Arabidopsis thaliana: one gene and its partners. The protein of the gene in region 1 interacts with the protein of each later gene in a pairwise test. Each region holds a gene or a part of one and is shown on either strand. Other genes may lie near its edges. The genes, in order: ckl10, AT1G29240, AT4G18630 and AT2G27770.

What was found.
Region 2: the proteins of ckl10 (region 1) and AT1G29240 interact in a two-hybrid assay, tested with the Arabidopsis thaliana proteins (one large-scale study listed by BioGRID).
Region 3: the proteins of ckl10 (region 1) and AT4G18630 interact in a two-hybrid assay, tested with the Arabidopsis thaliana proteins (one large-scale study listed by BioGRID).
Region 4: the proteins of ckl10 (region 1) and AT2G27770 interact in a two-hybrid assay, tested with the Arabidopsis thaliana proteins (one large-scale study listed by BioGRID).

What each region holds. Positions count from the first base shown.
Region 1 is NC_003074.8:8,348,257-8,355,139, reverse strand, and holds ckl10 (casein kinase I-like 10), read right to left. Parts: upstream 4,338-6,883; 5' UTR 4,094-4,337; coding exon 4,018-4,093; intron 3,909-4,017; coding exon 3,868-3,908; intron 3,657-3,867; coding exon 3,587-3,656; intron 3,499-3,586; coding exon 3,350-3,498; intron 3,255-3,349; coding exon 3,159-3,254; intron 3,072-3,158; coding exon 3,001-3,071; intron 2,872-3,000; coding exon 2,810-2,871; intron 2,698-2,809; coding exon 2,634-2,697; intron 2,542-2,633; coding exon 2,457-2,541; intron 2,361-2,456; coding exon 2,234-2,360; intron 2,144-2,233; coding exon 2,070-2,143; intron 1,961-2,069; coding exon 1,897-1,960; intron 1,801-1,896; coding exon 1,682-1,800; intron 1,580-1,681; coding exon 1,349-1,579; 3' UTR 1,119-1,348; downstream 1-1,118. Other genes in the region: AT3G23350 (ENTH/VHS family protein), read right to left, coding at 1-386, 479-646, 725-847, 930-1,039; AT3G23330 (Tetratricopeptide repeat (TPR)-like superfamily protein), read right to left, coding at 5,793-6,883. UniProt on the Arabidopsis thaliana protein: Casein kinases are operationally defined by their preferential utilization of acidic proteins such as caseins as substrates. It can phosphorylate a large number of proteins.
Region 2 is NC_003070.9:10,215,741-10,222,629, forward strand, and holds AT1G29240 (transcription initiation factor TFIID subunit, putative (DUF688)), read right to left. Parts: upstream 4,203-6,889; 5' UTR 3,883-4,202; intron 3,277-3,882; 5' UTR 3,185-3,276; coding exon 2,228-3,184; intron 2,148-2,227; coding exon 1,410-2,147; intron 1,322-1,409; coding exon 1,283-1,321; 3' UTR 1,039-1,282; downstream 1-1,038. Other genes in the region: CIPK18 (CBL-interacting protein kinase 18), read left to right, coding at 1-682.
Region 3 is NC_003075.7:10,254,367-10,259,995, reverse strand, and holds AT4G18630 (hypothetical protein (DUF688)), read right to left. Parts: upstream 3,220-5,629; 5' UTR 2,819-3,219; coding exon 1,418-2,818; intron 1,301-1,417; coding exon 1,262-1,300; 3' UTR 1,039-1,261; downstream 1-1,038. Other genes in the region: PYL13 (PYR1-like 13), read right to left, coding at 5,143-5,629.
Region 4 is NC_003071.7:11,831,413-11,836,555, forward strand, and holds AT2G27770 (DUF868 family protein (DUF868)), read right to left. Parts: upstream 3,016-5,143; 5' UTR 2,640-3,015; coding exon 1,677-2,639; 3' UTR 1,131-1,676; downstream 1-1,130.

The DNA of each region.
Region 1 (6,883 bases):
AAGTTTGAAATTTTGCCGCCTTAGTACGACCGCCTTGAAACTTGTTCAAAGGGCTAAATCCGGCGAGTTTTGTGCAGATTCCGCTGACTAGCGTCTCTTTGCTGGCTTGATCCTTCTCCGAGAGCTTGTTTTCGTCGTCGATTAACGAATATGACTCGGATATAAGATCAATTCTTTTGGTTGGTGTTGAATTGGAGGTTTTCAAGGAAGAGAAGGAGTTAGATAGAGAATTAGGAGAAGGAGAAAATGTGGTGGAGTTACCAAAGCCATTGATTTGGGAAGTGATTTTGAGAGCTTTAAGACGAGCTTCTCTTAATTCTTCTTTCCCTAATAGAAGTGTTTGAATTTGATCTGCCTTTTTTTGAACTTGAGCTCCCCAATCAAACCTATAATGCGAACATAAATTGAAGCATGATAGCAATAACAAGAAAAATATGAAAACAAATTTTTTTTTGGAGATTTGGGAATAATAGTTTACCCATTATTGTCAACGTATTGGAAAGTGGAGAGGAATCGAAAATGATCCAAATCATAAAGAAAATCATGAGGTAAATGAATAGGTCCATGCATTAGTAAGAACTCCAACAACACCATTGCCTTGTACGCTTCTCTCCAATTCTTTATCTCTCTTTCATCTTTCCCAATCCTGTTTTTCATAATCATCATCTTAAGCTATCCCTTAATCATAATAATAATCTTCAAGAGAAACAAAACTAATTCATACTTTCTATGAAGAACATCCACAATTCTCCAATACTCCACGGTATCAAACGATGCCTCGGCTATTTTCGTCATCGTTTTAGCGTCTGGTGAAGAAGGATCACCATTTGTTACTTCTTCTACTAACCTAAGAATGAAAGAGTTAAATTTAACCATCACTAATGGAGTATTATCAATTAGCTAATTAATGAAGTTAATAGTCTACTCACAACTCAGCTTCGGTAACATCGGTGAGGACAAGTCTAGCAACATTGTACTTGTCTTGAATAAACGAAGAGGCTTGTTTCTTGAAATCTCCAAACCAAAGTGTCCCCATCATCAATTTTTCGAAATTGGATGGTCTATTCTGTCTCCACAATTCAACTTAAATGATAGCTTCAGACCAAACATGGGTAACCCTTATTTTTAGATTCAGACACTTCAGGAGACACTTGACGTCTATTAATAGATTTCAAGCATTTGACCAAATTTGAACTAATATAAACAAAGTACTTGTGTTACAAGTTACATATACCACTTTATAAAATTCTATGAAGAACTATAAACACATAAAGTGGGAGACAGTTTTACATTGTTTACACATTTTCAGATTCTTCCAAACTCCGATCCGCAAGCTTTCTTGAGTGACTCATTTCCGCTTTCCGGAACCGATAGTAAGCATATCGAAGCTTCTCAGGCCGTCATCACGCCCAAGCCTTGCAGATAACTTAGTTTCTTGCACCGGTTGAATCTTTTGGGCACTGCTTGAAAAAAGTTTACTTGAGCGGTTCTCACTCAGCTCACCTGATGAGCCAGGTTGGCTGCTAGACATCACTGCCATCTTTGTAGCAATCTCATTTCGGGTTTTTTCAGACACTTGCTGTGCATTGCAACAAACATCAAAATGATTCTCATGATTGATACCAACCGGAAAACTTTAAAGTCATCTACACAACAGAAAGATAGCAAACAGAAAACTAACCACTTCTTTGGAAGCATCATCAGAAAAAATGTGCTTCGGGCGAATGCCATGACTCGGTACATTTCGTCTAGCGAATGCTTCAACTGCACCTGAGAATCTTTCTCGTAGATCCTGCCCCACTACACAAAAATAGGAAATCAACTTCTGAGTTTATACTTCAACCATTTCAGCGTAAGATATGTCTACTATCTGCAGGATGTAAAATAATGTTATACCTATAGGCTTTTCATTTCGTTCTGCAGATGGTCCTGGAGGGTCTAGAGCTGGTTTAGGATTTGGCTGATAGAAATGAGACACAATATAATACAAACATGAGATTTTCAGAGTATTTTACGGTTTCTAAAAGTTTCTTCATCATCATATGTTGATGCAAAAAAAAAACACTAACCCTTGGTTTTGAAATAGAGCCACTCTGAGGATATTTCAAGATTGTCCAATCAAACACATAGTCAAACTGATAACCTGAAGGCATTAACAATTGATGTAATTCATGAGCGGTTTAATAGAGAGGTGAAGGAGACAGTCAGACAGAATACAGTAGAGGTTTCTAACCTTCCCGAATAAAAAGGTCCCTGAAAAGTCTTTTCAGATATGAATAATCTGGTTTATCCTCAAACCTCAATGAACGGCAGTAATGGAAATATGATGTGAACTCGGATGGATATGACTTGCAAAGAACCTGCAAACAGCAAAATCATATTTATCGAAAAGTTTAAGAAAAGCTAAACATCGTCTTTTCGCAATACAAAAACACTATTGTAGATATATGACGTACCTCTACGGGAGTAAGCATCTTCTTTTCACTTATCTTCTCGTATTTCTGTTTCTTAGTACCAGCTTTTAGACCTTGCCATGGTAAACTGAGACAAGAAGTTGTATTCCGTCTCAAGTTTAAGGATCTCATGTTTCTTAAAGATTTCACTATTAATACACAACCAAGATAGTTTCCTACCTTCCTCGTATAAAATACATCAGAACATAACCAAGAGACTCCAGATCATCTCGTCTACTTTGCTCTGCAAGAAGATATAAGAAATGTTTCAAAAGAAGGAAAATAGTAGCTTAACGGTTACTGCACAAATATAGAATGAAAGCTATTCTAATGTGTGACATGGAAACATTTCTCACCAATGCCAAGGTGTGTGTTGACACTTGCATACCTAGCAGTTCCAGTCAGATTCTTATTTTCCCTATAAAAAAAGTTTCATGAAGAGTGCATATAGTAAATTACCAAGCATAAGACCTGAATACATCAATACTTGCCTACATTAGTTTCTAATGAAGCACAAACAAAATAACCAACAAGGAAGTATTCTAACCTGTAAGGTATATGCTTGTGTGTCTGAAGATCTCTATACTTTTTAGCAAGCCCATAATCAATAATGTACACCTGAGGTTGAAATCCAAAACTCGTCACACCAGACTCGATGCTAAGAACAATCATACGACATACTAAAGACGAAACTAGAAAGCCTACTTGGTTTGCTTTGCGACCGAGACCCATCAAAAAGTTATCCGGTTTAATATCACGGTGAAGAAATCCTCGAGAGTGCATGTACTCAACTCTGTTTATCTAAAGTAATACTCAAAAGAGCTAAAACATTAGCAATGATCCCGCAACCGAACATTAACCCGATATCAAGAACTCGAAAGAGTATGTATACTTACTAACTGATCAGCAAGCATTAGAACAGTTTTCAAAGAAAAACTCCGAGTGCAATAGTTGAACAAGTCTTCCAAGCTTGGACCAAGAAGGTCAATAGCCATACAATTGTAGTTACCCTCAACACCGAACCATTTGATATGCGGAACACCCGCTAGTCAAAAGAAAACCCAAAGAACTTAGACCAATGGAAACATAAACATCAAGTGAAATGAGCTGAGTAATGAAAAGTGAAAACTCACTCCCTCCTTGAAGAAGCATGTATACTTTTGATTCATAATGGAGCTGAGGATGCTTTGTCTTCACAGGTTCCTACCAACAAAGAAATGTATAAGAACAGATCAACAGCTATATTATAGAGAACAAAAACAAAAGAATCAATAAGATGTTCATACTCAACAAAAGCTAGTCTAAAGAAAACTAAAGAACTTAAAACTTATGACCTCAGATACAAGTATAGTGTGACAACATAGTTTCAAGATTCACTAATAGTGGAAAACTGAAAATTGAATATGTAACATACCAGCTTAAGAGCAACTTCTTCTCCAGTTTGAACATTAATCCCTTCGAATCACACATACCAAAGTGAATCAACATCAAAATTCACACTAATTACCAACAAAGAACCAAAAAAAAAAAAAAAAAAAAAAAAACTGATTGATTTTTTATATACCAATATAAAGTTCACCGAATGATCCACTACCAATCTTCCTACCTAACTTGAACTTGCCACCGATTACATGATCCATCGTTTCAATACCAATAAATACTACTTACAGAGCCAAATACGATTTATCAAACGGTTAATGACTCAATATAACATTCTCATCAATACAAAATTGTAGAACGAAGCAAACCAAACGAAAGAATTTTCTGAGGAGTTTGTATATTTCTGAGGATAAACTTGAAGAGATAGTTTGATGACCGACTAAACAAGTAGAGGAGATGAATGAGAAAACAGAGACAGATGGTTTTGACGGATGTTATTTATTTATCTCATTCTTCTTTATACACATAATAATTAATAACATTTTTTAAGTCACGGGAAAGGGAAAATAAACGGATACAGATAAAAATAATTATTGTTAAATAATATTTTAGTAATTTACTTTCCCACTCATTTTTTTTATATATCAAATTACTTTCTCACCCTATTATATATTATTCACCCAAAAACAAAAACCTTAAAAAAATTGTCACTATATTCTTAATTTTCTCTCACACTATGATCATTGGATGTTTTAGCTTCTTATCATAGTGATGCAAATTTCATTAAAAAAAAAAATCTATATTTTTACCTATTTTTTCTTTTATGTATATATTTATAAACCAAATCCACTCTATATCCACTCTCCCTTTTTTTCTGTCGAGCAAAAAAAAAAAGATATCTACTCTATTCAAAATATATTTCTAGGACTTGCTGAATTTAATATTCATGGATGGCTGCCAAAGTTTCTTGAATGTTTTTGCTTTCTTTAGAAAATTGCTAAATCATGACCATCGACGTAGAACCAAGCACAACCAAATTCAAGGAAAAGACAAGACAAAGAAAACTAAAAGCAAAGTAAGCTTTGTGTTACCGACTTCTCAAATGCCAACAATGTTTAAAACAGAGAGTTTGATGATTAGCACAACTAATCCTTTGCTTTTCTTCGCAGACTAAATTTATGGCAAGTTGCACCTTTGGAAATGTTAAGTATAGGAAAAGCAAAGCAAACAATATTGGCAAGAATAGTGAAAAAAGGATCATGGACAAACAATTGATCGAGAAATCGTAAGACAAAAAAAACAGTCCAAATATAAACGATCCAAGAAATATAATACCTATTTTATGTATACACTAAATTTCGGGGTTTTTTACCACTACGGTAAAAATATGAACTATATCACCAATTGACATTGCAATAAAAAAAAATAGCAATAATTTAGTGGTATTAAAAAAAAAAACTGACTTACAATCAAATCCATTCTGTTGGTTTTTATATATAGTGAACATATTTTATAATAGTATAACGACTAGTCGATTTTCCACTACATAGAAAATGAATGTTCATAGTGCCAAAAAGGGATCCAATGGCCATGATTTATTATGGGCAATGAATAATAATGTGAAAATTTTGTATGCATGGGTCAGCTTCTGTCTGTTGTTGTTGTATACACAACAGATCATATATATTTATGTCCAAACATTCCATATATTGTTTGTTTAATAAATACAAAAAAAAACTCATGCAAATTCCACTTTACTTTTAAAACAATACTTTATTGTTAGGTCTATTTCCACATGATTTGTTCTAATTTTTCCTAATTATAAGAAAATTATAGAGATAGAAAAATATATAAATTGGTTGAACACTACAATAAGTGTAATGAAACATATGTTCCCTATGCGACGTCGTTTCTGTCTCTGAACAAAAGATGAAGTCAAAAAAGTTTCACACTTCATTATTACCAATAATCTCCACAAGAACAGTTTCCACGGTTGAAATGGTGGAATCTGCTATTATCCCTAACGATAATCTCTCTTTCCGTGATCTTCGAGATAAACTTGATTGCGACATGACAATCCGTGCATATCCTTATATTCTTAGTGACTCTAATTGTCGTGCCAGGTTCTGTGTTGATGATACCAAAGGCAACAGCCAATCTCTCACTGTGTCCGAACAAAAGCTCTCTCTTATGCTCTTCGTCTACATCGTGAAGCACGCCGCTTGTGTCTGCAACATACCCTTCTTTCTCCATCTGTTCCATTACAGCTTTAAGAAACTCGTTGATCTTGTCCATACTCGGATGCGATCTATCTCCTGAAACAAATCCATGAGTCTTGTTTTTCATTTCGATCCAACTACAAGCTGGCTTTTTCCGCAATCCTTTCTTCCTCATACGCAATCTTAGTTTCGCCATTTCTTTCCATCTTCCATTAGACGCATACATATTGCACATCAAAACATAAGCTCCCATGTTTTCAGAATCGACAGTGAATATCTTCTCCGCTACCTTCTCAGCCAACTCAAGATTCTTGTGAACGCTGCAAGAAGACAATAAGGTAGACCAGACACTACCAGTTGGTTCAACACACATCTTTGAAATGAAATTGTATGCTTCTTCCAGCTTCCCTGCACGGCCTAGAAGATCCGCTACAGCTGCATAATGTTCTAACTCCTGGTTTAAACCGTAAACCTTAGTCATGCTGTTGAAATATCCCCATGCCTCATCTACCAACCCCACATGACTACAAGCCGTTAGTACAGCAACAAATGCCACTTGATTCGGTTTCACTCCTTGTCGTTTCATCTCCTCAAACAACGAAACTGCTTCATGCCCATGACCATGTAACGCATGCCCCATTATAATAGCCGTCCATGATACTTCATCGAGTACATTCATCCTGTCAAAAATCTTCCTAGCAGCCTTAATATTCCCACATTTCGAGTACATATCAACAAGTGCACTAGCTATGAATATGTTACTGCCAAAGCCACCCCTTAATACATATCCGTGAAGTTGTTTCCCAAGGTGCAAGGTGGCTAGGTGAGCAC
Region 2 (6,889 bases), on another chromosome or scaffold:
TCGTTGGTTTTCATCGGATCTTGTTCGGTTATTGACTCGGCTTCTTGATACGAATCCGGATACTCGGATTACAATACCCGAGATCATGAAGAACAGATGGTTCAAGAAAGGATTCAAACATGTTAAATTCTACATCGAAGATGATAAACTGTGTAGGGAAGATGAAGATGAGGAGGAAGAGGCATCATCATCAGGCCGCTCTTCGACAGTTTCAGAGAGCGATGCAGAGTTCGATGTAAAACGGATGGGAATAGGTTCAATGCCAAGACCCTCGAGCTTAAACGCGTTTGACATTATATCTTTCTCTTCAGGGTTTGATCTGTCTGGTTTGTTTGAGGAAGAAGGAGGAGAAGGGACGAGGTTTGTGTCAGGTGCTCCTGTTTCAAAGATCATATCGAAGCTGGAAGAGATTGCGAAAATCGTGAGCTTTACTGTGAGGAAGAAAGAATGGAGTTTGAGATTAGAAGGTTGTAGAGAAGGAGCAAAAGGACCGTTGACAATTGCGGCTGAGATATTTGAGCTGACTCCATCTCTAGTGGTGGTGGAGGTGAAGAAGAAAGGAGGAGACAGAGAAGAGTATGAAGAGTTTTGCAACAAGGAACTCAGACCAGAGCTGGAGAAACTAATCCATGAAGAAGTTGTAGTAGAAGAAGCATTGTATTTGCCATCTGATACTGAATAGTATAAAACAAGGAAGGCTGATAACAAGAATATACAAGAAACAAGATTGTGTTACATTCTTTTGTTACTATTGATTATTTATTCGTTATTCTTGTTCTATGTTAATGTTGATGTTGGTGTAAAACTGAGAGATTTCGGAGATCTTCACGATTTGTTGTGATCTCCGAAATCTCCCAGTGTGTGTTTATGTATATAAGTGGTATTGTAATGTGAGTGATAGGAAGATGAGGGAAGAAAATAAGCAAAAGAGGGTGAGAGATCAGGCAATTTAGTCGATTTTTTCTGGTCACAGAGCCAGTTTTTTGGTGGATTGCTCATATATAGTTTGTATATATATGTAAAACAAGAGACGAGCTTAATGGAAATTCTTACTCTGCCTTCCTTTAGTTCACTGTTTTCTTCATCCTAAGTCTTACTAGTATTTGCCTCATTAATTAGAGTTAATATTGAAGCTGCACATGTAAATGAGGTTCATAAAACAAGCACATATTTTCTTTTCACCAGTGGATGAAATGACTACCAAATAACTAATGATTGAGCTGAAACGTAGGTATAAACCTGATGATCTCGGGGAGGTCAGAACTCGAGAAGCATCAAGGTCTCAAGTTTTGGATTGATGAGATGTATGAGCAACCAGTTCCTGCACAAAATTGAAGTAAGTAAATACCAAAGATGGCTAGCTGATTCTTGCTTAAAGCACTGTATATGTGAAAATGAGAGATGCTTACTTCGGAATATCGGATATGATCTCTGTGCATGTAGGAAGTCTTAACAATAGTTTCCCACTTGGTACCATTTCTGTAGTTTTCTGTAAGATCCTGCTTTTGGGGGTTGAATGGATGATATCTACGTGAAGTGATCTGAGAAGTTACTGAAGGCAGATTATGACAAAGCCAAGATTCAGAAGGCCTTTTGGGAGAAGGTGGTGCAAGAGGAGACCGATCAAAACCACTACTGATCTCTACTAACTCATTTCCCTTCACCATTTCACTACTTCTAATACTTATATTTTCAAAAGCTTCAAGTTCAGGATTGGCATCTGGTTTCCTTCCTGTCATATCTGCTTCCTCTGGAAAGATCATGAGATTTGAGTTATGCTGATCATTGGTCATGTGATCATTCTCGGTGTCGACATAAACTGTCTTCTCCAAGATTGAACCATTGCTTTTTGGGTAGAGTAACTCCTGAGACGTCCTGCTTATGTTTCTAGTATGATTGCTCAACCTGTTAGCTCTCAGGTTCTCGGTTTCCCTACGAGTCTCAGGGAAACCCGCATGGTGTAAAGGAGAACCGTTACCTGTACTGCGAAATGGTGACATACAGCGAGAGTGTCTGTAAGGAGATGAAGACCTCTTCGCAGCAGAAATCAAGTTTGATTCAGAGTTGAACTTCTTCCCATTGCTTGGATGAACTGGTGAATGAACTTTACCACTCAACTTGTGCTTAGAAACTGAATCAAGAGCTAGCTGGAAAATGTACAAGAGCTACTAGTCAGTGAGTGTCTAATCATATTTATAAGGGACTAATAGGAGTCTAAAGGTGGAACCTTTTTAACAGATTGGAATCGATATTTGAGTTGAGCAACCTTGCTTGACTTCACTTGATCATGACTTGGTGATGTTATTGGAGAGTTGTGTTTAGCTTTAAAACCAGGCACTGTGTTCAGCATGCCGAGAGAGTCTTTAAAGCACAATTGTGGCAACATTCCACAACCTCTCTTTGAAAGATAGGCGTACTCAGAAACTTCATCATCTTCCTCACCCACCTTGCTTTCTTCATCATCAATGTCTTGGTGGTAATAGTAAGATGGGACTATAGACACATCATATCTATTAGGAGTTTGCTGCTTCTCCCCCGGTACTAACTCTCTTATCTGTATCGTTGGTTCAGCCATAAAAGTGGATGGTTTTCGATTCGAAGCATAATGAGACTGCTCCACAGTCATAGCTTTGGCAGCTGGTAAAAAACGACTCATCATGAAATCCCGAGATTGAGCATCCAGTGGTTTCTTGGTCTCAACGCCACCATATTCACTCACACCACTAATGCTATTGTTAAAAGAAAACGAGTCCTTTGGAGAGAGAGTGTCAAGAGCATCAGAAAACACATCATCTTCATCATCATCTGATTCTTCAACTTGTTTACCCTTTGAACTCTGCAATCTTGTCATGTTTGCATCAACGGCTTTACCCGGTGGAAGACATGGTGTAAAAACTTGTTCTTCTTCTTTCATCAAAACACAAACTTGGGGTTTGAAATCATTGCCCTTTAATCTTCCAGGAGCTTGTTCCCAAGTGAAAGGAACAGAGGCAGGTTCAGTAACCTCATCATCTAAACCCATCATATATGGAACAAGAACTGGAACAGAAGGACATTCACTTGTCTTAGAGTCATAATCAGTGAAGTTATTACTCTTGTTTCTACGCACAGAGACTCCTGCTGTCTTCTGCATCCGTCTTGTTGAAAGAAGAGGTACGCTGAAGTTCAGTTTCCTCTCCTCCATAGTAAGAGAGCTAGCTAGTTTAGTTCTTAGGATATGGCTCACAGACCAATGAAACCATATATGGATATATATTGAAGTTCTCTAGAACAGATCTGAAACAAAACAAAACAACAGATTTTTCAGTAATCTTGAATATTATCCATATAAAAACCATATAATAATCATATAGTAGATGATCTCTTTCTCTATGTATAAAGGATTATTATCTGAATTCTGAAGTAAGTAGGTAGATACAGACAAAAAGAAAAGATCTCTCTGTGAACTTTTTTACTACTAGAAACTTCAATTTTAATAATAATATTTAACGCAACACCAACACCGCTTAAAAGTTATGAAATCTAGTGACGGTGTCAAAATTTTCAGACCCGTGACATCAATCATTACAAGGATTTGCGCAATTGAGTACCAGAAACCCCACATATAGAAGACTGTGACGATGTCATAATCGTTATAACTAAGTAGAGTAGAGAATAATGATAACAAATCTCAAGAAATGAAGAACTAAGTGCAAGATTTAGATGCAGAACTGAGGATAATGTACGGAGAAAGTAACGCTCACGAAAAATTCTAATCGATAGTCAACTAAAATAACCTCGTCGACATGCTTAATTCATTCTACAGTAGAAATTTCAAGAAAAAAAATAAGCGAAACTAGGAGAGTCGTTTTAGAGCTACAAGGATTGAGATCAGTACGTTACCGGAAAGTGAAGCCACAAATCGGAAAGTGCGAAATTGAACCGTTGGAGCCGCTTGAAACTTGGAAAAGGCTTGAGAGTTAAGGAGGAGACTAAAAAAGACTTGAGTAAACGTAACAGAGAGAGAAGCTAAGCGTTTTTGGAGGATGTGCCGTGAAGATGACGGAGACGAAGATGGGACTTGGAGAAGAAAAAGGTAAGCTGAAAGTAGTCACGAGCTGATTGGTACATTTGGACTCTTCTTCCTCTTTACTTGTATTTACGCTTTCTCTCATTTATTTTCTCTTCTATTGGTCAATGATCAACATGAATAGTGTATTTGACAACATTTAACCGAAGTACCGAACCAAACCAAATTCGGTTGTAAAATCAAACAAATATTGGACGTGATTACTGATTAGTATAATCTTGTACCACTCACAAAATTGATAGCAAAAACGATGCAAAGAGCAATATTCTTATTATTTGTTTTGGTGTTGCGCTCTCTATTCGTTATTTATTTATTTTGTACTGCTTTTAACTACAGTTTTGTTCGTTCGTCACCGATTGATCGTTTACAATTACAAAAGAATATACACAGTTGATTTTTTGGTGGCATATCTAGAATCCATAGATCTATGCGTTACTTATAAAGTTTATATAAGCTGACCACGACTGAGTATGGTAGCGTGATTGTTAAATAACTAAACAATTATGAGATACCTTTTCACTTTTCACTTGCATTTTTGTGGAATATCATCATTTTAGGTGTGGGCCGATTAGAGAATGACAACATTTTGATAGGGGAAAGCAAAAAAAATTGGCGCAACCAACTCAATCTATCATTTTCAAACCTTTTATTTTATAATAACTCCAGAATGGATAAATAAATACACACAAATACCAACTTAGCTCACATATTATTTCAATCAATAATTATGCTGTTATTATACCAGGAGTTTTCTTTGTCTTCATATCTTCTGAAAGTTTGGATTTTGTTTACACTGAAGTTATGTTATAAGTATGACATACTAAAGTATGCTTACATACATAATGCAAAATATGTATATAATTTTTCTTTTATGATATATAAAAATATTTAATTCATATAAACAGAACCATAATTATCATCTTTACAAAAAACTCACCTAACCAGTGAATATTCCATTATACAAAAGAGAGATTAGTAAATTCAATTTGTTTTTGTGTGTTTACTAATTAAAAGGGATTAAACGGTTGGCTAACGAACACTCTTGTCAGCAGGCTGCTTTCCAACACCGTTGCGGGGTTGCCCTCATAAACGTATTTGCATGCTAACAGTGCCAAATGCCAATTATTGTTTTTTAATTTTTGACCAACTATTGATTTCATTTATTTATTACTAATTGTTAAAAATCAAAATAAAATTAGTTAGGCAACACTAGACTTACAAATTCTTTGGAAATGCTTGTCGGTGGCTTGTGAGGAAGAGTTGTGTTGCTATTATGGAGTCCTTTTACATGTTCTCTCATTAGCTTATCTTTTAGGAGCTTTTCCTCCTTATGTTTGTTTGCCCTTTAATTTGGGTCTTAGTCTTTGGAGGTTTCTATGTACCCATCAATGTTGTCTCCGAAAAGATCTTGTTCTTGTCTGTTTTGTATATCTCTACCGCAGCTAATGAATGAAATCTTTAGACGGAAAAAAATAACACTAGACAAGATGAAATTAGGTTGATGAAATTTAGTTTCTAGAAATTTAGTAACAATTTTTTCTTCTCTCTTTTTTCCTCACTTAACCCTCTAACATAATCAATTAATCATGTATGTTGGTAATTTGTTTTACACGCTATATCTTATAGAATATCGTCGATAAAATTATGTACGACATGTTTTAACTTATAACATCTTCATGAGAGGAGGACCAGGAGGTAAGTCTTGACTCTTGATTCTTGCGAAAATAAAGAACAAAATGTTGGGTGATTGTTATTTTTTCGGGATAATGATGAATATTAGATAAGTCACGCTTACATCGACAAAAATTATATGGATGGACTACATTTGTGGTTAGTTGTTTATAAATCAATTTACCGAACATGAAACTATATTTTTACATGGTGTTGTAATAATGTTAACACGTTCGCATTACCCGGACGGAAAGGTGGTGTTGAACGGTGATGGTAATAAAAAGATTGTATTAGAGTGTATATACTTCGTTTAGTTATGGTTTAGTTTGGTTAGTAATTATGGTTTAGTTTATTTTGTATCTATATATATATTTTTGCAACACTTTTATGAAATAAATCTTCAAGTTGGGATTTATTTACAACCCAATGCCATTGGCATTTAATATTTAACAATTTTATTTTCAAATCTAAATATAAACTAATTTTGTTACTAAAATTTAGGAAACTAAAATAAATATATCACAACAATTATTTAAATCTTTCCAAATCTAAACTAAAATATACTACTCACTAATATTCCTATTTAAGAGGATCAATTAGCATTAACGGTATATTATTATTGATATATATGAACTTTATAAAACATTAATAATATTTATCCTTATAAAAAAATATTAAAATATCATAAAACGAGTTATATAACGGGACGGATTTGGATTGATATAACACGAGTTAAATCTTTATTTATTATTTTATCATCACCAAATTTTTTATTTACAATATTATATAAAATTATATAACTTTAATACTAAATTTAAACCATAAAATTTAATATTATTATATATATGAATTAAACATTTTTCCTGTGGTGTACCACGGGTTAAATCCTAGTTTAAGCTTAATCATGTATCTCATTTACGTTTAATGAAGGTTTCACTATGGTTGATAGATTGTGTTGGTGTGTTGGTCAACAAATTCCAGCACAAAATAGTTGTGTTAGAGGAGAAAAGAGATTGATAAATATGTAGAGGACATGAAGATAAAGGGTGAGAGTGATATTTTGATCTTGAAAAAAATAATTATGGAGTAACTGATAAGTGATCATGGACAAAAATGAAATTAAGAGAATGATTTTCCATTCATTTAATT
Region 3 (5,629 bases), on another chromosome or scaffold:
TATAAAGGAATTCCTTATAATGCAAACAATGTATTATTATGTTTCTGGATGAAACCAGCAAGCGGGTAGGGCAAGCAAGAGAATGTTGGTGAGAGGATTTAGAAATCAAAATATCCCTAGAAATCGATCTTGATTATATTTTTGAAAATCGATTTCTCGTTAGTTTTTGCAGGATGATGATGATGATCTCAGAGTTGTCTCTCTTCGACCATCTTTGGTCTCTCCAGGGCCAAAGGGTGGTGCCTTCTCTCTCCTCCCTCTTCCCTTTGTCTTCCCTCTTCTCTCTCTTTGCACAATTTGTTTTCTTTTTTTAATTATTTCGAAAATTTTCCAATTTCACAACCCCTAATTTTCTTGTAGTTTACTTTTGGTTTCTATTTTTTTTTTTTAATAATTATACGTGCTTAACTATACTACACTAAGCCACGTCACCATAAGTATTTTAAAACACAAAATGAACGATTTATGTATTTTTAATTTTAGTATCCAAATCTATTCTCACTCTCTAATTTTGTTATTTTAAAATCGAATTCAACAACAAGACTCATGGGGCATGGGGGACGTGCCTGCCTCTTATACTTTACTAGTGCGTAATAAAATAGTGAATCTTTGTGACCGTTGGATATCGGTAATCCAACGGTTTTCATATCGTTTGTGTATAATGAGCACTACCACACATGACATGGGGTTTTGAATTAATGTGCATGAACATCATCAGTCATCACCCGTAATTTGACAAAAGCAAAAAAAAAAGAGCATCATCGCTAGTAACATGTCTCCCATTACTTTCTTAAAATATTTTATTCCGTCATGATCAAATGTCAATTGCAGCTGATATTATAAGAAAAAGAAGTCAATCAAAATCTTATATTATATGTGTGTCTTAGACAAAGATAGCTCTAATTTCAATTATGATGATATGATCATATATGATTATTTAAGAAACTTCATCGGTTTATCGAATCGACACTATGAATCAGCCTGGTTATGTTGTATAATTGTGCCGGTCTAAACCGGCTAAGTCAGAACTGGTTAGGCACGGAATCCATATTGTATCTAACATCAATAACATGAGGTCTTCCAATTACAAATAATGCGGTCGGAAAACAAACGCCACAATTATAACACACACAAAAATATTGAAACATAAAGAATCAATCTCGGGTACATTTGTGTTGCCTACAAGAAAAATAAGAGGCAAACCTTAAAACTATTTATTAACTTAATTGTAATGTAAAAACAAGAAGTAATTTGTCTGGTTTTATGTATTTTGCTGGCGAGATGGATAAACAATCAGCTCCTGCATAGAAGAATGTCACAAAGAGAAGATATATAAATTAAAATGTTCAATAATACAACGTATTTTTAAAAGAATTCGATTTGTTAGAACCAAAAATGTTCAAAGAGTAATTAATACCTGAGAATAACGAGCGTGATCGTTGTGAACATACGATGTTTTAACGATCGTTTCCCATTTCGTAGATTCAAGAACTTCTTGATTCAGTTTCTTGATACCAACTTGACCTAAAACGACGCCGTACGGTCTCGGGTTCACCGGCGGTAGGAGGGTTCGTCCGAGCCAGGAACGAGACGGAGTTTCCGGTAACGGAGGAGGAGAAAGCGCAGGTGTATATTCCGACGATGTTTGTTGAAGATTCCCTGACTTGTTGTTCCTTCTTCTGTTTACTTCCTCAACAAGAAACCTAGAATCGTGAATTGTGGTCCGTTGGATCCTCGAAGGAGTAGAGATCGAGTTTCTAAACATTTTGATCTCTCCAGAATTTGAGTAATTAGGAAGAACCTCTCTTCTTGTTCTTGTTGGATACAGTTCTTGAGACTTGCTTATTCCTCTGTTTAGCCTTTTGAAGCTCTCTGGTTTCTCGGGAGTTCCGAGAAAACCGGAATCCGAACAAGAGGTTCGGTACGGAGAGATAAAACCGGAAAGACGCCTAGTTGACCAGTTTGGTAAACTGGTTTGATCACCCGAATGTTTCATAGACCGGTTTGATACTGAATCCAAAGGAACCGGGTTTAGAAACTTGAATGAGTTCTTCGCACAAAGCCTTGGCAAGAATCCGCAAGCTTTCTTGGTAACTTCAGCTGGGTAGATCTTGTGATCAACATGACCATAATCATCACCATCATCATCATTCTCGTCGTCTTCAGTATCATCATCAATGTTTAAGTCATCGTAAAGACTCTGAACAATGGCGAAATGTTCATGTTCTGCAACCAGTTGACTTCTTTGACGAGCTACGAGAGCTTCTCTGTTCTGAGTGATTAGCTTCTGCTCTGAAGAGTTATAAGAAGATTGATGTTTCTGATGTGTCTGAAGAGCCATTGCTTTAGCAGCTGGTAAGAATCTTGACATCATTAGATCAAGACTTTCTCTAGACTTCTCATCACAATCAGATCTCTCACCGGTCTTCTCGATTTCGCTAACTCCACTTGTGCTGCAGTTAACAGAGAAGCTTACATTTGAAGAAACCGTATCCAAATCTTCATCTACTTCGTCTTCTTCTTCATCATCGGTTTCTAGTAGACCTGACTCTTGAATCAATGTAGCCATGTCATCTTTTGGTTTTCCAGGGATTTGTTCCCACATAAAAGGAATTGAAGCTGGTTCTGTGAGATGATCAAAGCTCTGGTCTGGTAATACAAAAACCGGCGTTTCTTGTTTTGTGCTCGGACATGATCGAAGCTCTGGTCTTGTAATCGTCGTCTTCTTATTCTCTAACTCACTTGAACGCTCTATCATAGACGGAATTCGCCTGATTGATGGTAATGGAGCATACAAATTCAATTTCTTTCCCTCCATTCTTGAAAACAAAAAGAAGGAAGAATAACAAACAGAGTCTTTGTTTTGTGTATCTCTTCTCTTGCTATGTGTTTGAGATTGTAGTTGTTCTTATTAAAGTAAGAAAATCGGAAAAATAAGAATAGAGTTAATGTATTAATATATGTGTGTAAATGATTGCCGAATGTCTAGGACCGAGATTGAAGGCTGGAGTTTAGGAAAATAGCAGATGAATCTATTATAAGTGTGCGACTAAAGAATTGTCAATAAAGAGACTTTCTCTTTAACCTTGTGTTTGGTTGTTTTCATTTCTTATATAAGTTATAATTGAGCTTAGAATAAATCCCATCCCCCACAAAGATTTGATTGAAAATTAATGATGAGATATTGAGATCAACTACTTTTCTTTTTGTTGGAAATTTTATGTATTGTGAATACATAACGATGTCGTTAGACATCGGAGTACAAGAAGATCAGAGACACAAATTTGGCCCTAATAAGGTGAAATATTCCTCAAGGCAAAACGTGAGGAGTAGTTGTGGTTCAAGTTTCAACTGTATTTTTTTTTTCTCTAAAAGTAATGAAACAAACAAAATAAAAGAAAAAGTGAGAAAAGACATTTATGTGAGCCAAATTACCGACTTTGGTAATGTAACACATGTTGTTGTGTCCTTTTCCGAGCCACGCAACGTCGTTTATAATGTAAGCACTAATTTTCTTTTCTCCGAATGCACCACTAATTGTTTACTTTGTTTAAAGTCTTTGAAAGAAAAGTCGCGGCATTCGCCTCGACGGATGATGGGGCTCGATTACGATATATAATTTAATTACTTTGAATTACTCATAACATTCCAAAAAATTGACTTATAATTTGCTAAAACAACCGGCCTTAGATATTGACTATAAATTAACATTTCACTTCTAGATTACATAGTGTATAGTATATTACTTTTAGATTATGTAATTGTTTTCTAGGTAGTATAGTAATCGTTTTAAGAGGAAAAAACATTACTCGGCCACCTCTTTCCGTCTCCAATATTCAAAACTTTGATTTTTAATTGCTAAACAAACAAAAAAAGAATGAAGAATAATAGTATGAAAAATGAGAGAAAAACTAATAGAAATGGTATTTGAAGAAATTTCTTTTAATCATAACTTAACTATCTGTTTGTCGTTACTTATGTTTTGGTAGGTACTACATTTATTAATAACCAATTCTTCAAAAGTGTCTATAAATAAATTAACGACTGGTCAAGCGAACATTTATTCTAATCTATCTAATACAAAAAGAGGAGGAGAAACCCATGAAAATTTGTAAAGTAGACAATAACTTGAGAAATATACACCTGAGAAAAAAATCGATTTACTGAAAGAAAGTGAAATAAGTTTCGTTGACCAAAATCCCTAAAATTGCGGGAATGAAAAGGACAAGGGAATAAGTATCCTTCACGTGGCAACCACTCACACTCCCCCACCAACACCCAAGCTTTGAAATAGCAAGCCCCACCAACACCCAAGCTTTGAAATAGCAAGGCCCAATAGTCCATTCATAAAGGCCCAATTCCCGAAAAAACATGAAAATTTCCAATCTTCACCGTTATATTTAGATCAATAGAACCTCTATTTTGTCTTTCACCAACTTGTTCAAAATAAATTATATCTGTTGATTCGGTCGGTTTTTGATAAAAACACACCAAAGTATTATAGAGTAAACCACTCCATTAGTTCAACAGCTCAATGATTCAACGGACATCATAAATTCATAACCTCCGAACAGATTTGAGTCAAACGGCCATGAAATTCACGAGATCTACAGTTTAGGTCATCATACTTTCTGTTCTGAGTGTAAAATACCTTCCAACCTAATAATATTATACTAAAGTATTGATATTAATTAGTTTAGAACTTCAAATTAAGAATCTTACATGATGCCCTTTTACTATGCATTATGCAAAATGGACAAAGAATTATCAAGAAAATTTTCAAACATGTATTTAGTCTAACTTTTGTTGTCAGCAATACAAATCAGTATATTTAGTAACTAAACCAACTGAGTCAACAATTTAAAACCATTATTTCAAAGATTCCTAATTGTAAAAATGTAGAAATAACCTTCATTTTATTTCTCTTCATAAAAGAGTAGGAGAAAAGAGACAATTACAATCACGGAAGAAAGAAACCACACGAGCATATTATTCCGATTCTTTATATTTTTATTATTATTATTGCAATGCTAAAAGCCTTAAAGATTAAAAACTAATCCATAACGATCCATTTTTTTCTTAATCCAATGATTCATAACTATAACTACGATTAGTTTATTGATTAGCTTAAACATATAGAGCTTACTTCATCATTTTCTTTGTGAGCTTAGCAAGTGAAGTAAGGTTATACCGAATAATGTTATCAACAAAAAATATTGTATCTTCCTCGCTAGTTCCTTCCGGCACATCCACCACGTAACTCTCCACCACCACCGTCTTCTTTGCCATATCCTCCGGCGACGCGACCACCTTCGTTTTCGATTTGTAATTAACAAGCCTATGGTTACCGCCAATAATACTTACCACCATCACGTGAGACTCATCATCTAGCTCTTCGAGCCTCTCCGTGCTGAAATCCGCCGGGAAGCCGGAGACTAACGTCACGTCCCGGACGGAGCCTTTTCCTTCTCCTCCTTTGCCGCCGCCGCCGCCAGAGCGCATGGTGCAACTTTTGACGAAACGTTGATAAGCTTGTGGTTTGTCGAAACTACGTAGGATGGACCACACTAGTGGTAATGGTGCTTCAATGGTCTCGACTACGCTAGAGCGACATCGTTTTTGCTTAGAA
Region 4 (5,143 bases), on another chromosome or scaffold:
TGGAGAGGGATGACATGAACCAAATTTGTTTTATAAATTATTATAAATTCATGATCAAATTGCAATTAGTGATACCATGTGAAACATTCTTTAATGTTATATGGATGAAACATCCAATTGAAATATTTCTAAGGTTTAGATATATATTTGTTTATAATATGCAACCTGAATTATTCATGGAATGCAAATGTTGTTAGTGACTTAAATGAATAAATGGTAATGAATGTCCAGGCACCCCATAGTGCACATATTACATTTTGTATCATACATGGTTTTTTAATTTATATATCGTGTTGTGTGAAAACGTGCTATCGATATCTCTCTCTCTTAAAGCTTTGTTCATTATATATGGGTTTAACAGTCAAATTTCTATTATGTGTAAACAATGGTAAATTTGTCAGCCTTTCAAATTCTGGATTAGTTTTAAATGACTCGAAGCAGTATTTTAATTATATTGTAATGTTATGTTGACCGAATCTTTATTTTGTATCCTATTGTATTATAGTAATACTTATATCCTTTAAATACAGAGGCATGGTTAATCTTAATCGTATGATATTTACATGCAATGATCATTTTAATACTCCTAAATTTCTATAGTATTAAATAGTTAACTCCAATTTATCAAAACTCAAACTTATATGAAAACATAAATTCGGACTGACTATAATCAAATTCTAAAACTAAAGCTTGAACTACTTACATCACCTAAAACTCTCCAAATCAACCAATCTAGAAAAAATATTTGCTTGAATGGGATGTCACCACCTAAACCTCGCCTAACCGAACCAACTTAACTAAAAATTAGCCATTACTAGACATATTTTCTTACAACAATTTTAACAAAAAATGTAAAGAAAAAACTTTGTACTTTACAATGTAGTCACCTAAACCATGAAGAAATTGTTCCTTGAATGATCGAGATGTTAATCACCTAATACATTCCTAACCAAAATAACCTAACTAGAGTTGGAACTTGAAAACATAATAAACTATGCCTTAAATTTTCACATACTGATATTCTAAAACCAAAAGAAAAAATAGCATTTTACATTTTTACTTCATTCACAAATTTTGTTAGATTAATAGGAAAAACAAATTAGCATGAGTAGATTCTAGACCTTTTAACTTTTGTACTTTAAAGAGGCTCCATGCATATCTTTATAGGCGTGCACATATGCCCCAATATATTCTCATCTTATTTCACACTCTTCAATTCTTCTTCCTTAACCATAATCATCAATTACTTCAACATTTATGAAAGAAAAAAACGTATATCTGTAGATGAGCCTACATAGTAATAAACATCATAATGTTGCCAAGAAAGAGAGTCATTGAGACAAATATTTTCCCAACAAATGACTTCAATTTAAGATATGGCAATGTTCTTGAATTTGTAAGAAAACCAAATTTAAAATAAAAATAAAACAACAACTCCTATGAAGAAATTCACATCTTTTGGAATCTCTCAATATTAAATCACAACTCCAACCAAAAAAAAAAAAGAATGTAAGAAAGAAAATAAAATCTATACTCCTCCCAAGAAGAAATTGTAAGTTCAAAAAAAAAAAAAACCCCATAAAAATATCTCAAATATTAAAAACAGAATCAATCAATCAATAACCTTTTTCTTGTAAATCTCAAAAAAAAATTGAGTTTTTTTTTTATAATGTTTTTCAAGTCTTACAGGCGTAAATGAAGAGAGAGAAGTCAAGCTTGTCTTGTTGATCTTTCTTAACAATCTTCTCTTCTAACCAAAGCCTGCTGCTGTCTAAACCATTCCTTGTCCTAAACATGAACACAGCTCTTCCACAAGCTCCTTGATTACTAAAGAACCAATCATGAACATCCCACATCAGATCCACAAGCAATCCATCCAAGAAAATCGTTTGATTCCCTCTGAAATTCCATTGAAGCCTCTTCACTTTTATCACCGTCTTCTTATCAATACAAACAGAGAGAACAGGGTAATGATTGCTCTGTTTTAGACCCTCTGTTTCTTTATTACATCTGATGACGATTTCATGTGAATCTCCTGTCTCAACGAATCTTACTTTAGTCGAGTAAAAAGTATTGTTCCCTGTGAAATGTTCTTGTCGAGAAACAAGAGAGAAATCGAAACCGATATCGCCGGAGAAACCTTTTTTACGGAGAGTTTCTTCAGATGAATCTCCAAGAAGAAGACCCATTTGACCATCAACGAGGACGATAACGTAGAAGCCATTGATAGGTTCAGGACCACACAAGTTAGAATCATATTTAGCTGAAGAAAGATCCCAAAAAACCTCGATTTTACCGAGATCGGAATCAACCGATTTGTTACCTTTCTTCTTACGGAAGAAACGAGAAGAAGTGTTGAGTTTGAGAGTTGTTGAAGGGTTTTGATCTGCGGATGCAACAGAGATGCTTAAGCCATTGTTGTTGTGTGGATTGCACCATGTGACTTTGATGATGAGATGTTTCGATAAAGTGATTCTGTAGATGCTTGTAATGGAGGTTTGTATTGATGGTATGAGAGATGGTGAGATACAAACATTGTTGGTACTGTATTTTGAACATGATGATGATGAAGATGATATTGATAAGGGATGTGTCACGTTTATTGAGTTCTCACTGAAACATGACACCAAATCTCTCATTTTCTTAGGAAAAAATTGTAACAGAAAAAATGAGATTTTCTTGGGAAAGAAATGAGATTTTCCCAAGATGGGTTTTGTTTGCTTGCTTGTTGAGACAACAAAGTGTGTTTCTCTTTTACTTTGAGAATACTTTGAGAATCAAAAAGATCAAATGTTGTTGAGAAGAAGAAGAAGAATGAGAGAGTTAACAAATCTGGGTTTTTGTAGGTTAAAGATTTGAGTTGCTTTCTTTTTATTTCTTCTCTGATTCTCTTTTTTTTTCTTAATGAGAGAGAGGGAGAGAGAGAAATGGATTAAGGTCTCTGTGTGTGTGCTAAGAAGAGAGTGGAGGTGAAAGGAGCCGAATTTAAGTAGTTTTGAGCTTTCATTGTCTAGGGGACACAAATTTGATGTTGATATTTTTTTTATTTTTTTTTATTGTATAGTTGTATGCTAACTAATTTTAAAAGTTTTTGTACTTTAATATTTTATTTTTTATTAATAAATTTCTAAAGGGAATTGAAATTTGGTGTTACTCAAATATGACTTTTTGATTAACTTAAAATTGTTTATGATACATTTGTAAAGTTTCTATAAGAGAATTTAAGGTTTATGATTTTTATATAGATCAAAATGATAAACATATACTAATTTAGGAAAAATATTAGTGTATATATAGATTGAAAAAATGTCTGAATTTACAGATAGAGGAATTCTTCTAATATAATGATGGTCAAAGCAACTCTCAGTTAATATAGACATAATATAATCGTTATAATTAGTGAGAATTTGTTTTGAACCATCCATATTTTAAGAAACCGTCATATAATTAAAGGAAGGTTCGTAATGTAGTAATTACGAATACGTTTTTCTTTTTTCTTTTGTAGTTCCATACATCGGAGTCAAGTCGAGAGTTACAATTTATAGACGAAAAAAAAAAAAAAGTTTCAGGCAGCTAAAACTACTACCAATAATAGACTTGTTGCAAAAATAAAAATAAAATGTTTTTACTTATATTTATTTAAAAATATCCTTAATCCGTTTTGAAGAATCGGATATATTAGGAGTTTGTATACAGAATCTACTAATAAAATTTTGGATCAGAAGGATTACATATATGAATATGTCAAGAATATAAAAATATATAACAAGAAATTAGAGTTACACTCTTAGAAAATTTTACAGAACAAGTTTATGTTTTTTTTTGTCTTTTAAATTATTTCATGAACCTGCTTAACTGGGATATCTTAAATCTAATCCAATTCACTCCAATAAAACAGATATCCAATCTATTTGGAAGTAGGTTTGAATTGGTTGGATCCAAGGTGAAATTATATATATATATATATACGGTTCATGTTTTTTTTTTTTTGGTAGTAGAAATGGCATTTTAAAAGCAAGATACTAGAGAAGTGACTGTGATTGTGATCTACTGGTGTTCATAAATTGATACCACCTCACCTGAGATTGAGTCTCCTTCTCATACGATAGAGTTCATTGGGATAATAAACTGACATGTTGTGCCCATATAGACTAAAAAAGCAAATCAATAAAGCTTCATAGAAGTTAACAAACAAAAGAAGTAAACCCGGATATAATGGTCTCGGAACAAATCGGATCGGATCTAAGAGAGGAATTGTGAGCCGGTTGTACAAATTCTCTTAACCGCCAAATGTTGGAACTTCGTTTATTTGCCTGTGTTGGCCTAGATTTTCTCCAAATTTTGATTATTCAAACTCTTGAAATGATATAGAAGTGTTTTAGCCAAAACAATTAGCCCAATTTATTACTTCTCTTTTATCACCTATACATTAATAATAAAATTTTAGAATAAACTTTTTAGTTGGGTTACCAAATCCAGAGGGAACAAAATTTCAAAAGAACGAGACCGTCTGCTTTAAAAATTGAAGGAACGAGAGATTATTTAAAGACAACAAATTTAAGAAAATAAACTTGAGGCAAACCAAACTATTTTCCTTCTTAAATTCTTGAGATACATTATCTTATCGAAGTGAGCTCCATCTCTTCTATTGACGCCCGCCATGAAATGATATTCAACTATATATTGCATCGATAATATATTATATGACATAAGTAATACAAATATTCAAAATAAATGATATAAAATTCTTTTTTTGGTAGTGATATATGGGGTTCTGCATCCGATCCGGTTTTGATGAAATTCTTAATCTTAACCTATTATGCGAACACTCAGCAAAATCCAACTCGTATTAACACGTTAGTACTATTTTATAATCAGAATTTTAAAAATAAATAAATACTATCATAGCTATAATGAAACAAACTAAGCCAATAAACATAGAAAGGAACACGGTTGCTTTGTTTGTCGTGACATTTGGGTGTGGACTTTGGACATATTTAAAATCCAGCCAACCTAGAAAAATTATATTATCACTAGATGTCTCTTGTCGAGCATAAATTCCATTATAAGAACTCATAAAAGATGTCTAATATGTTTATATAAATGTTCATGTATAGCCTGATTTTTGGAATGGCCAAGATCG